2 linked regions of the Drosophila melanogaster genome follow. The gene in region 1 interacts genetically with each later gene. Each region holds a gene or a part of one and is shown in the gene's direction. Other genes may lie near its edges.

Region 1 (7,810 bases):
TCGAAATATCCGCCAATTGGACAGATCAACACGATAAGCCGAAATCAAAAGCAGCAGTTACCCGATCCGTACCAGTGTGCCTCGTACAATGGTTTAAAAATAGCTCGGCCAAATCATGACACCGATCACCATCCGTAAGTTTGGCCGCCAGCGGTGGGCGTTGGGCGGCCGACGGCGAGTGGGAGTGGCAGTGGCAGTGAGCGGTACACGGTACATGGTACGCGGCAAAGCGTGAACCGTAAACGGTAAACGACAAAACGGAGACGTCGCCACTTTGGCCATGAGTAACGATGAGTGCTCAATTACTTTTCGATTGATCATGGTTTTGGCGCGCGGTGAAATTTAGACCGCCACCCCGCAGTTGCGCCTACCCCCTCTCGGCATCCGCATTCTGTCGACCGGTGGAGCGTAGTCGGCAATCATGAATGAATCGCCGTGTCTGCGAGCGTGAGAGCCCGGCTCGCGGTTGAACAAATCGTGTCGTCATTGACGGCTGTCGGCGGCCGACGGAGCGTATGAGTAATATTCTTGTGAAATTGAACGGAAATAACTGAAATTCATGCCAACCCCCATAAATTGCCGACTATTTGCGGGGGTTACTTCGGAACGGAACAAAACGGAACGGAATGGATCGTTTCGCTTCGGATCGGAAACGATCGTCTCGGAATCGAAATCGGAGAACGGGAGATCCGGAGAAACGGTGAATCGGAAGTGTGTGCCGAGTGAAAGTCATTCGATAAGAGCCAAGTAGCCGCTCATTTCGTTCCCCAGAGACCGGCAAATAGGCAAATTACACATGTTTTGTTTATCTGCGAGCGGGAGAGACAGTGAATAGCTCTCCCAGCGACCTTATCTGGTGGAGATCGGCCCAGTCGACGAATCGATCAATCACTCCACTCCAGTGCGCCGATTATGTGTCATCCCCCAAAGGGGAGCGCTGGAGAGCTGTGAGTATTTCTCATCGTGTTGAAATCTAGCTGGCCTAATCATTCACTAAACGTTTGTATTTTTCACGCCCATTACGACTGGGTAATATTGGTAATAAATCTATTATGTTCGGAATGGCCGTAATATAGAATATTTATGACATTTGTTACTAGTTCACTAACCAAATATTGGTCTCAATCGAATAGCTATTGGATGATTGTACTTGTTGTTGCCTAGTTTAGATGTTATCTCTCATATTTAGTATTATTAAAGTTAACTAAAGTTAGTTAAAGTTATACTTTTCTTCTGCTTTTTTCCATGCTTTCTTCAGCGTATCTTATTGCTCCTAGTTGCTAGTACCCTGGGTACAGGGTAACCCATTGTCCACACCCAGCCGCTATGAGTCGTTTTTGTTTTTTTTTATCGCTCAGCTGTGCTTTTTTATGGCTTTCTCGCGTTGTTTTTGGCACTCGGCGAATGTTTTGAGCGCTTTTCTTGCGATTGCACACTCATGACAGCCGAGAGAGCCTCTCCCTGTCTCTCTTCCGCTTCTTTGGCGATTCGAGCGGAGCGAACATGACCGGCGGACTGGGCGTCCGCCTCCTCATTAGTATGCTCATAGTAACTGAGGAGTTCAGTCAGTCTCCGCCGGCCACAAAAACAAAAAACTAAATATATATACACACATAACCACTGCACGCGAAAAGGCGAAAAAAAAGTGAAGAAACGCTACTGCAAAAATTGTACAAAAAAACAACGCAAAGACGGCGAGAAAGCCACTCCAATCCACTCCACAACACTCCACTCCACGCTCTCCAGCGGCAAGAAATCGACAGCGCTGTTGACTTCGACTTCGATCGAATCGGAATCAAATCATAGCAGACAGTCGAAGGCAGCGCGTCGACACTTAACGCGATAGTTCGTCCAGCCGCGATATAAAGATACAAAGATACGCAGCCAAATTCAACAAATTCAACAAATTCGACAAAGTCGCCTGATTCGCCTGATTCGCCAAATTCGCCAAATCGCGATCGCTTTTATTATTGGTTAGTTTTTTTTTTCGTTTTTTTCCCCGTTGCATTCTGGAAGCTTCTTTCCGGCAAATACACACAAAGAAAAGACTAACAGCGTTACAAAAGCAAAGTGCGTGTCAATCAAGTACGAATTTTTGTGCGGAATTCCCAGCCAACGATTTTTATGTAAATGGTAAGTACAAGTAACTACCGCAGGCGCGTATTTTTTCGGGGATTTTATATTTGCCTTTTCTGCTGCCGATAAGAGAATTCACCTGTGCGTGCTCGGTTTGTTGATAGGTACAGGTGTCTTTCGCTCGATACTTCTGAACCCGCAGAGTTCTTGCCAAGAGCTGCAATGGTCAGGTGAGGTGTCACGTACCCCACACATGATGAAATTGGCCCCAAGGAGGAGGTGTGATGGGTTTAGGGATTGGAGATGGGGATAGGGCTCACAACCGAAAGGGACCATCATCTCCAGCCTCTCATGGGGGAAACTCATTCGTGAATCACTGACACTGTTTGGTGATAGGCATTGAAAACAAGTTATAAATTCATGATGCACAATATGTTAAGTTCATTTTTCCACATGTGAATCATAGCATTTTAAAGTTATTACAATTATGAAAAACCCAAAGTTATTTGAAAACCTATGGACGTTATTTTCGGATGAGTATGACTAATCGTACAGGGGCGACTTGCATTTATTTGCTATTACTATTCTAACTTATTGGGAACTTATTGTTCCATTCAACCACACAACTTATGCAACTAACTTAATAGTTATTGCAACTGTAAAAAAAAACCCTTTTGACGAAAAATGGCCAAAAAAAGAGCGAAACATGTGAAATTAATTTACACGTTTCGTGCCGCGGGGGTGGTGGTGCCAGTGGTGCTGGTGGTGCTGGTGGTGCTGGTGGTGCTGGTGGTGCTGGTGGTGCTGGTGTTGCTGGTGTTTGGCAGGAATTGAAGATTGGATGCGTCAGCGGTTGTCACTACAAGCGTTAGCGATTCGGCACAGACAGGAGGACAAGGTCCGGGCAAAGGGACCGCGATAAAGAGCCGGAGAGCGAAAACGCACGGCAAGAGAGAGTGAATTTCACAAAAGTTTGCAAGACCAATGTTTCGTTGACCATGCTGCTCGATGTGTAGGAGGCGTGTGGAGCGATTGGAGCCTACCCCACCAGACAATATGAGATAGCACCGCCACCGCCAGTGCGGTGGCACCACTATCACCACTACCTTTGCAAGTCGACCTCCACCCGACACACGATGATTCATGATAATTTGGCTAAATAAAGAAATTTATTTTTAATTTGAAATAATTATTTCAGCCAGATAAAGACGGCACTAGCAATGGCCGTAGCTGTAGCTAAAGCGCAAACGATAATAATAACAAATCGCGCATGCTTCGGGCCCCCCAAACAATTGCGATTATATTTATATGTGTGCGTATGGGTTTGCGCATAAGTGCGTCCAGCGGGAATCCCCAAGCAGCCAACAATCATCATAATTCGCCCACTCAGGCACTAACACACACAAAATAACACAAAACAATCGCACCACAATCACACATCCGTACCATCACGTGCGCGAATTTTGGTTTATATTTGGCAAAAGTTGGCCAAGATAATATATAACCAGTCGGTTCAGTTCAGTTGTCCGCGCAGCGTCCGTTAGTCTTGACTTATGGTAATTGGTCCCTCGGCAGGGGGAATACATTTGGCCAACCGAACCCTCTTTTCGGCCAAAGTTTGAGTATGTAAATAACTGAAAATCGAACATACGTATTTGATTTTTTTTTTTTTTTTTTTTTTTTGGTAACTAATAATAGTATAACCTGTTGCTAGACTTTTCTCATGCTAAACACCGACGACGTCTGACGAAGATGTGACGTCAAGAAGTCGTAGTGAAACTCGAGCCATTATGGGTGGGAAAAAAATGAAACTGTGTTATCTTGAGGGCTTTGCGTGTTTGTATAAATTTTGTTTAGCTTATTTCGGAACTTTTTCCATCCACAGACGACAGCTGACCGCCCGCTCGACGTCAGCAGGAGCAGCGGAAGCGGTAGCCGGAGCGGTAACAAAACGGCCAGAACCAGGAATCCAGTGGAACCGCAGCCGCAACCGCCGTTCGTGGATCGACGACGACGCCTGAACAGGAACTGGTCACTGATCTTACTCGCCTTGGCCATGTCCCAGTTTGCCCTCTCCGGCGGCGGTTGTGGCGTCTCAGCGGCGCCCAGTCACCTGGCCACCCCGCCCACTGACAGCCCCTCCAGTCCCATCAATCCCACCAATCCCCTGAAGCACCTACAGAAGCGTTCCAGAGCGGCCAACTTCCGGCTGACCTTCCAGCAGAAATTGAATGCCAGCAGTACGCATCTGGACTGGGAGAACACCTGCAATCTGAAGCCCACGGGTCTGAACGAAACGCACAGCAAGGCGAAACGCTGCAAGAAACGCCAAAGGGTAAGTTTCAAGCGAAAGTTGGCTCTTAGCTGATAAATAAATTGGCACAACTAATTCACACACTATTATCTATATGTATATATGTATTTGTATCTATTTCAGATCCTGCAGAATCTACAGAACCAAACGGGCCGCGAGCTGCGGGGCATCCAGGCCGAGGACAAGGCCAGGATCACCACCAATGCGGACAAGCTGGCCACAGTGAGCACCAAGACTCTGGACATTGTCGAGAAGAACAAGTGGCGATTCTATAAGGGAAACTACAGATTCCTGCCCCGTCTGAATCTCACTAGCAAACAGGTGAGTGTCGTCCATATGCCATAAGCATAATATATGTATGCATATATCGTCATGTGAAGAACTACTGGATCATTTACAAACATCAAACACTCGCGGGGGGTTCTTCTGTTGCCAGGGAGCTTGAGGTGATAAAAAAGAGGGTCACGTGAGGCGTTCGCCCCGTTCACCTGCGTAGGTGCAAACAGGCCGTCACAAGCTAATGGCGAGTGGAGCGGTCATATGAGTCCGAATCCGAGGGAATCGTGCCGCCAGCCGCGAGAGTTGTTGCCATAGTTTGTTTGCGTGATTAAGGGAATTTATCAATCTATATAGAGGGGTATGAAGGAAACTAAGGAAATAAAGATTGAGATATGTATATAGTTCATATGTGCTAGCTTGATGATGGAGTTGTTTTGACAACACTTCCAACAGCAACTTGCATTGAGCACTTAAGTGCCGCCAACTTTTCGATCGCACCTCGTTCGTTTTGTCAGCATTAGCCGGCATTTCGGGACGCCCCATTAACCGTCGATTTGCATTGGTAGCAAACAACAACAGCACGAGGGAAAACATTAGCAATCGATGCCATAACCACATTAAGATTAAGAGCAAATTGACGGCGCGCGCGCTTTTTTTTTCGATTATTGTTTATATAGATCCATCGCGATCCCCCCCAAACCGGCCTTGATCCAGCGATCACGTTTTATGGCCAATCCGTAGATTGGATCGATCCGAATTGAGGCTGAAGCTGAAGCTGAAGCTGTATCTGAATCTGAAAACGAAGTTCAATCCGAATCTCAATTCGTATCTGAAGTGGATAATTTGTTGAATAAACAAAATAAAATCAAGCGGCACATTTTATTTACACTTTTGACAAGTAAACAACAACAAACAGAAGCTAATCAAATTTCGAATTGGATTCGCCACGGACATCTGAATTATGGCGAGAGGAAAATTATGGAGCTTTTCAATTTCGAGACCCTCGAGTTGCGGACAGTTTGATGTTAATAGAGTGGAACCGTTTAGTAATGCCAAATTGTCGGGGTCTGGGAATTCGGAAATATTTTCGCACTGACACGGTGAAATGAGCAAGACCAGTTGAGGAAAAACCCGGAGTGACCGATAGGCCAGTGAATAATGGAAGTAATGGAAGTAATATAGAATGTGGGCTCCGGAATGTGGATGGCGGTACTTGCGAAATGATTGCCACGGAGTACCAGTCGATACGTGACCAAGTATGACAAACGCCGTGCACTAGAAAGGGTCTAGTCCACATTTCAATGAGGTGGATGTCGCTTCGTGAATCGGTCGAGATCGGCTTGGTTGCCCCAACGTGCTAATTCCTTGGTGTCCGGGAAAGTTTCGTATAGGACAGTAATATCTGCAGATAACCAGATGAGTGTAGTTCACTTGGCGTGGCCATAAACAGATACTTTTATGAGATCGCAGGTGCGGCGAAAAATCTCAAGTGTGGTCAAGATCCGCGAAAACCGCCGACTCACTTCGAGTCAGCCAAAAGTCGCGTTCAGAGTGCAAGTGGAGTCTCAAAGGTCGCCACCCCCTGGGAATTTGGTTTTTATTTTTTTTTTTAATTACCCGTTCTGCTAAACTTAGCCAGTCCCATCATAGTTGCCATTCCATTTCATCCATTCATTCACTTAGCCAGCGATTCCACTCAATCGTCTATTCAGGGCGATGAGCAAAGTTTGGCTTTCGCTGAAATTTCTCAATTGTCGTCATAGTCTGGGAAAAGTACCTGGGCCTCGCGGATCACACTGTGAGAAAATGAGGGTAACAATTGACTGCCTTCGCTGCTTATAAGTACTCTTTCGTGTTGAGTTTTTCAGTAGATACCTTTGATCACACACTACTCGATTCGACCAGTCGATCCACCTTTTCTCACTCTGCACCAAGCTCGGGAACTTGCCGCTCGGGATGTGTGTCAATATTTGGCCAATATCGGCTACGTCAATGCCAATTGTGCCAACTAATTGTTGACATCCCCGGAACAGAGTGAAACGGAACCCCCAGATCGGAACCCGATCCGACGACGAGGTGGCAAACGGGACTGATAGAAGAACTCTATATTTAGATGGATCGTTTCGATACCGAGAATCGACGGCCTTTTGACGTCATGCATTCGCTCATACCCACCCAAAAAAAAAAAGGAAAACAACGAATTCGCTGATACCGCAGCGGATCGGTTCGGAAGAAGAAATGACCTTAACGATAATATGTTTGAGTAGTTCACAACGCTCGTTTATTGCAAATGACACACACACGCCGTTTGTGGTCGTTGATCGGGGGGATACGGGGCGCGGAGCGTATACGCGATATGTGATTCATATGAAACAGAGCCGTGGATTCCCCCGAAACTCCAGCGAGAGCGAGCGGGAGCGGGAGCGGGAGCGGGAAAGGGTGAGCGGCGGCATGCGGCGAGCGCGACATGAATGAAACGAAGAGCCAACGTCGACGTCACGAGCGGCCAGCCGAAGCGTAGCCGAGAACTCAAAAAACAGTTACGAGAGAGCGGCGCGAGCGTTCGGCTTGATTTTCACTTTCAGCCGCCGGCCAGATAAGTTTCTGGTCGTTGGGATGAGGGGAGTGTGTGTGCGATGGGAGGGGGGGGGGGGGGGGGTCCGCAAAGGGGCTGGTGGGCTCAGTTCACTCAACCCAAAAAATTCGAACTATAGGATCGACTATATACACCATATGCGATATGGATATCGCAATTTCCGCCAAGGTTTCGCCGTTTCTAATACTTTAATTTTACAATTGGGGATTTTTATTGCAAGCGAGTGCAGAAAAAGGTTTATTCAATAAAGATAACCCCGACCTTCATTCATGGCGATACAAGTAATTAAGGCGTTAAATACTTAAAAATATCATACTTTGCCATATAATTGTTTTATTTTCAATTCTATGCTGATATAATCAAGGATTATGGAGTTGATCTCCAATATGGGTTGGGGTAACTATGATGATTAAGTTGGGAATATATAAGTTTACAAGTTCATGGACAGTTAATGATATAAATAGAGCACTTAATTTAATCTAAAAACTAGTATATATAAAATGGGTGTACAAATATGAATCCATAGATTCTTATCAACAGAGAAC
Region 2 (4,843 bases), on another chromosome or scaffold:
TTAGCCTATTAACAATTAGGGCTAGGTAAGCGCTTTAAGGGGTAGTTTCCAAACTAACTAGCATATAAAAACCACCCACCCGAAACTTTTTTTCAATTCCTTTGTGCGGTAGCTGAGTTCGACGTTCGACTTTTGCTTTAGCAAAGTGGGCGCTGGCTTATTATTGTTATTGTTGTTCGGCCCCAGCGGCTTTTTTGTTGTTGTCATCACAGCATAGTTGTTATTATTATTATTGTTCTGCTGCTGCTGTTGTTGTTGCTGCTGCTGCTGCTGTGTTTTGTTTTCCGAACGTTGTAATATAAACTGCACATCATTTGCATACTCGCCCCATTTGAGCAGCAGCTTCATTGGATTCTCATTGGGGGCCAGGTGGCGTTCGTTATTGCGCCACCTTTCGATTAAAGTGAATCTGCCCACTTTTCCAGTGGCATGGGCCAAAGCAAAAACCACATCCTGTGGAAAATAAAACGATAATTAGGGCAAACTGACTAGCAAACAGAGCGCATACAGTTCGGGTCACATTAACAGCACTGCAGCAGTGTAAAATGCTTTAACAAGATAATAGTGCTATTATTTTGACCTCTGCTGTAGCTCACATACCTGACATGTGGTGTTCACTGTAACGCCGCAAACTATCCGCTGGATGCCCTCGACCCAAACTTTCAGCTCCATTCCGGCTAATTGTCGTCGAGTCGAGTCTCTAAAGATCGGCCAATTATTTTCGTTTCTTGGTGTTTCTGCTACCAGAAAATTGCTTTCTTGTGCCGCTCCAGCTGGAAATGGGGTTCTACTAATGGTTTTTGGCGCTTGACTGGCGTTCTGCTGTCGCGCAGCCAGCGAAGCGTGTTAGCTGCACTCCGCCTTTCCACTTTTCCGTCTGCTTTTCCCCAACCCCACTTTTCCTCGCCTGTTTTTCTTTTTTGCTTAATTTTCCGATCACAGTTTCTGCTTCTTCTTCACTTGCACTTATTCACAGCAACAACAACAACACGACTGGTTCCATACGCTTGCATGAGTGTTTGCTGGGCGTGCGGGTATGCGCGCGTGTGTGTGTGAGCTAGAAAAATTCTGATTCACTTTTCGGATTTCCGATTTGGTGATTACTTTTGTACTTCCGGCGCGGTAACTCCGTGGTTCTTCACTTTCTAGTAAGCACGATAATCTTGTTGTGAAGCAGCTCCACTGCTTTTGTTTTGATTTCACGGATTTTTAACGGATTTAATCTAAATTTTAAAAGCAAACATTGTTGTTGGCATGGGCATCCAGTCGATGCCAAAAATCGATTGCACCAACAGCCAACCAGGGATGGCCAAACAGGTGTTTTTCAAGCTATCGATAGCAATGCCAATTGGGATTGCATGTTGTTGTAACAGGTACTTGCTATTATTTTAAAAAATTTTTTTGAGATTTTTTCCCTAGTAATAGGCTTATGTGCTTATATTAGGATAATTGAAATTCCTACATGGCCTTTTCTAATTTAAGAATTCTAATTTAAGCTCATAAAAATGATGATCTTAATTTTTGTACCACCAATTGAATATTGTCTATTTGGTTAACAAAAAAAATTGTTTCTTATAACACAATATAGATGCAAACGTCTTTTCGCTTTTCACCAAATAGTGAGTGCACACTGAAGCACAAATTTGTGTAAAACCTTGTGAGAACATAAGCTATTAAATTTAAAAAATATAATTAATGGAAAAGCTTATGTGATTCGAGGACTTCAGTATTTTTTCAGAATGGCTTGCCCCGTCGCCTGGTCACACCGCTTGACTCAACCTGGAATATTCGACCACCCCGCGAACGGTCACTCTTACTCGGTCACAAAACAATGCAATATTTCGCGGAGCAGTGAATTAATCCGGAAATAATCGTCCGTGCCCAGAGCTTTGGAGGCCAAGTACCAGGGAGCTAGTCCCAGAGTTGGTCGCAGTCTCAGTAAAAACGAATCGTAGCCAACCGCGATCCTTGCAACCGTGCTGTGTCGAACCAAAGAAATCCTATTGATTTTGGGTCTGCAATTGTGCATTAAATATTAAGCAAAAACGAGGGCTGGTCGCGTGGCAGCCAGTGGCAAATTGTTGCTCCTGCGGCATAGGCAGGACACCTGGATACAGGATGCGGGCAAGCCAGCGACGGACAACGGCGAGGCTTGTGTAGGACGGGCAGAGCAACTGCTGGAGGAGAGAACTGGACTGGGAGTGGAAAACCCGAAAGCCCACTGAATATTGCGCTTGTTTTTTGTTGCCTATTTTTTTCGGGGCGTGTGTGTGCCAAAGCGTAGCAAACAAGCACAACAATGGCCAACAGCAGCCGAAGTCGGGCCATTTTGAGCGTTAATCTCGATGCGGTCATGGCCAACGATCCGCTGAGGGAGCTCTTCGAGGCCTGCAAAACGGGCGAGATCGCCAAGGTGAAGAAGCTAATAACGCCTCAGACCGTGAACGCCAGGGATACGGCGGGACGCAAATCCACACCATTGCATTTCGCAGCGGGTAAGTGAGATGCGATGCGGTTAGATCCCATCCAAATCCCTTCCAAGGACGGTCTAAAAACGGCAGCCCACCCCACCATTCGCCCAACGAAAGGTTGAAGGACTCGCCCAAACCCCCCGCTGCAGTGCGGATTTGGCCTTGAGCTAGTTGCGCCTGGGTGTGACGGGCGTCATTGTCGTCGCTCTCGGTCGGACACTCGCCTGCTCCAATGGCGTCGAGAGTTGACCTAGTTTCCATGTCGCTTCTGCTTTTGGCTCTGCCTCCTCTTCTGCTTCTGCTTCTCCTTCCACCACCGTTCTATGTGTTCTATATGTTTGGCTTGTTTCCGGAAGACCCCCTCTCAAAAGGGGAATCCCCCGTGCTGCCCCTTTTGCCGCTGCATGTGTGCGTGCGTGCTGCATTTAAGCATTTTCTATTTTCAAAAAAGACTCATACAGCTGCGGTCGAGATAATAGCACTGCATAATTAGCCATTTCAATGAGAGCTTTCACTGTCTCAGCACTGGAAATTGAATGTTTAACACACATATATCATCTGATTAGCTTTGTTTGTTTACACGTAGAATCCCATAGATAAAGGTCTGCAACATATGGTCTGATTGTATAGCTAACCTGTTTCGCAGGGTTTAGTTAGATGCTTGGCCTTTAAATATTAGATTGGGTAAACAAAATAACTCGTGCTAACATATTTATTTTATTTACATTTTTCAACTGTGAGTGATCAAATGATTAATCCTTCGTAATACAAGCATGCATGTTTTTTAACTATTATTTCGACTGCTATTGTGTCTGTTTTTGTGGGGGTGACAGTGATAGTGGGCGGTGGGCGGGGCAGTGGGCAGTGGGGCGACTTGTTGTGGCTGCTGCGTTGTATGCGCCATCCTGCTGACGTCTTTGGCTCAATATTTTCGCGTCTTTTGTTGTGACTTTGGCCTAGTTAGCATTTTATGCATTGCGATTTATTTAGTCAGTCGGCAGCATCGAATCAAAAGTGGAAAGAAACGTCTTTCCCTTCCCCATCCCCCATCCACATTCACCCCTTTCGAACAATACCCCAAAAATGCCATCAAGCTTTTCTAACCGTTTCACTCGACGCCCCTTGCATATCAATTTCGCCTTTTGGCCATTTGTGACTTCTTTTTTTTTTTAAGTTTTGAGCACTTTTTATTATCTGGCGGTGGGTCTTTCTTTCTTTCTATAAACTGGTTTTCCATTATTATGTTCGTCTGTCTTTTTGTCACGTTCTGTGCACAAAAAGTGAGATCTTCGAGGGGTCTGTTATTGTCGGGTGGCGTTTAAGTTATATATATTTTATTGCGGCTGCTTTTCACCTCGTTGAATGTATGACATTTTTGGCCACTCGAAGTTTTACAATACCTGTTGCGGTGGAAACCAAAACGGAGCTCACGTTTCCTCCTTCCTTTCCCGCAATCGTGACACATAGTAAAACGCAATCGCTTTACTTCGCTTCTTTGCGACTATCAGATTTTCTGACATTGGCCCGTTATCATGGCATTTATGTGTGTGTGTGTACATATATATAGTAAATATAGTCGATAAACCCGGAGAGACCTTCCCCTCCATATCTTGGCCATATTCGAGATACTTAAAACATACGTTTATCGCTGGCCAAAAAGTTGTGCAAATTAACCTTCGGGGTGGTAGTTGCAAATCAAGTTGAAATTGCATACATATATCTCAGTTTTTATTCATATATTGTTCACAGTCCCAAGGATCACACTTCCAAGTGGCGAGCAATTGGCGCTTTGACGCTCCAAGTGCAACAGTTGGAATTAAGTTTTCCATTCTATTAATTTTTAATGCAAAACTTTCGTAATTGTTTGCCCACAGAAAAGTGAACGGCACAAACGTTTCGCAAACCACTTTTTGGTGGGTGGCTCAAGCTTTTGTTTGCCCAGATTTGTAATTCGATCCGGTTCTCTTTGCAGTTCATTATAAACGTAGCAATAAGTACGATCATAAACATTTATTTTATGTTGATCATCTCTGGTGTGACCAATTACGGTACCCTATTAAGATGACTCAGATTTCTGGCATTGACAATGCAAAAGTTGCCAAAAGTATGTTTATAAATCGGGGGCTCGGTTGGATCATCACAACTGTCATCCGTTTATATTGATTATTATGCGACTTATTTTGATTATTTATCATTTAATTGTAAGGTTTACTTTCAACTGAACATAAGCTAATGTAAACTTTTTTGAGATTTCCTTGGGCAACAGTTCTGCAAATGCGGAAAACATATCTTTCTTTTCGTATGCCATGGACAAGGTTGAAATCCCCGAAGGCAAGACCTTCTCGCTCATTTGTAGGGCTTTCCCATCGACC

The links.
Region 2: of upd3 (region 1) and Tnks, changing one suppresses a phenotype caused by changing the other (phenotypic suppression), as found in Drosophila melanogaster (one study listed by BioGRID).

Annotation. Positions count from the first base shown.
Region 1 is NC_004354.4:18,275,473-18,283,282, forward strand, and holds the start of upd3 (unpaired 3), read left to right. Parts: upstream 1-1,760; 5' UTR 1,761-2,130; coding exon 2,131-2,133; intron 2,134-3,961; coding exon 3,962-4,411; intron 4,412-4,513; coding exon 4,514-4,711; intron 4,712-7,810.
Region 2 is NT_033777.3:25,658,244-25,663,086, reverse strand, and holds the start of Tnks (tankyrase), read left to right. Parts: upstream 1-1,800; 5' UTR 1,801-2,299; coding exon 2,300-2,495; intron 2,496-4,812; exon of another isoform or gene 4,813-4,843. Other genes in the region: RASSF8 (Ras association domain family member 8), read right to left, coding at 80-453, 601-672. UniProt on the Drosophila melanogaster protein: Stimulates proteasome activity, probably by ADP-ribosylation of PI31. Modulates 26S proteasome assembly.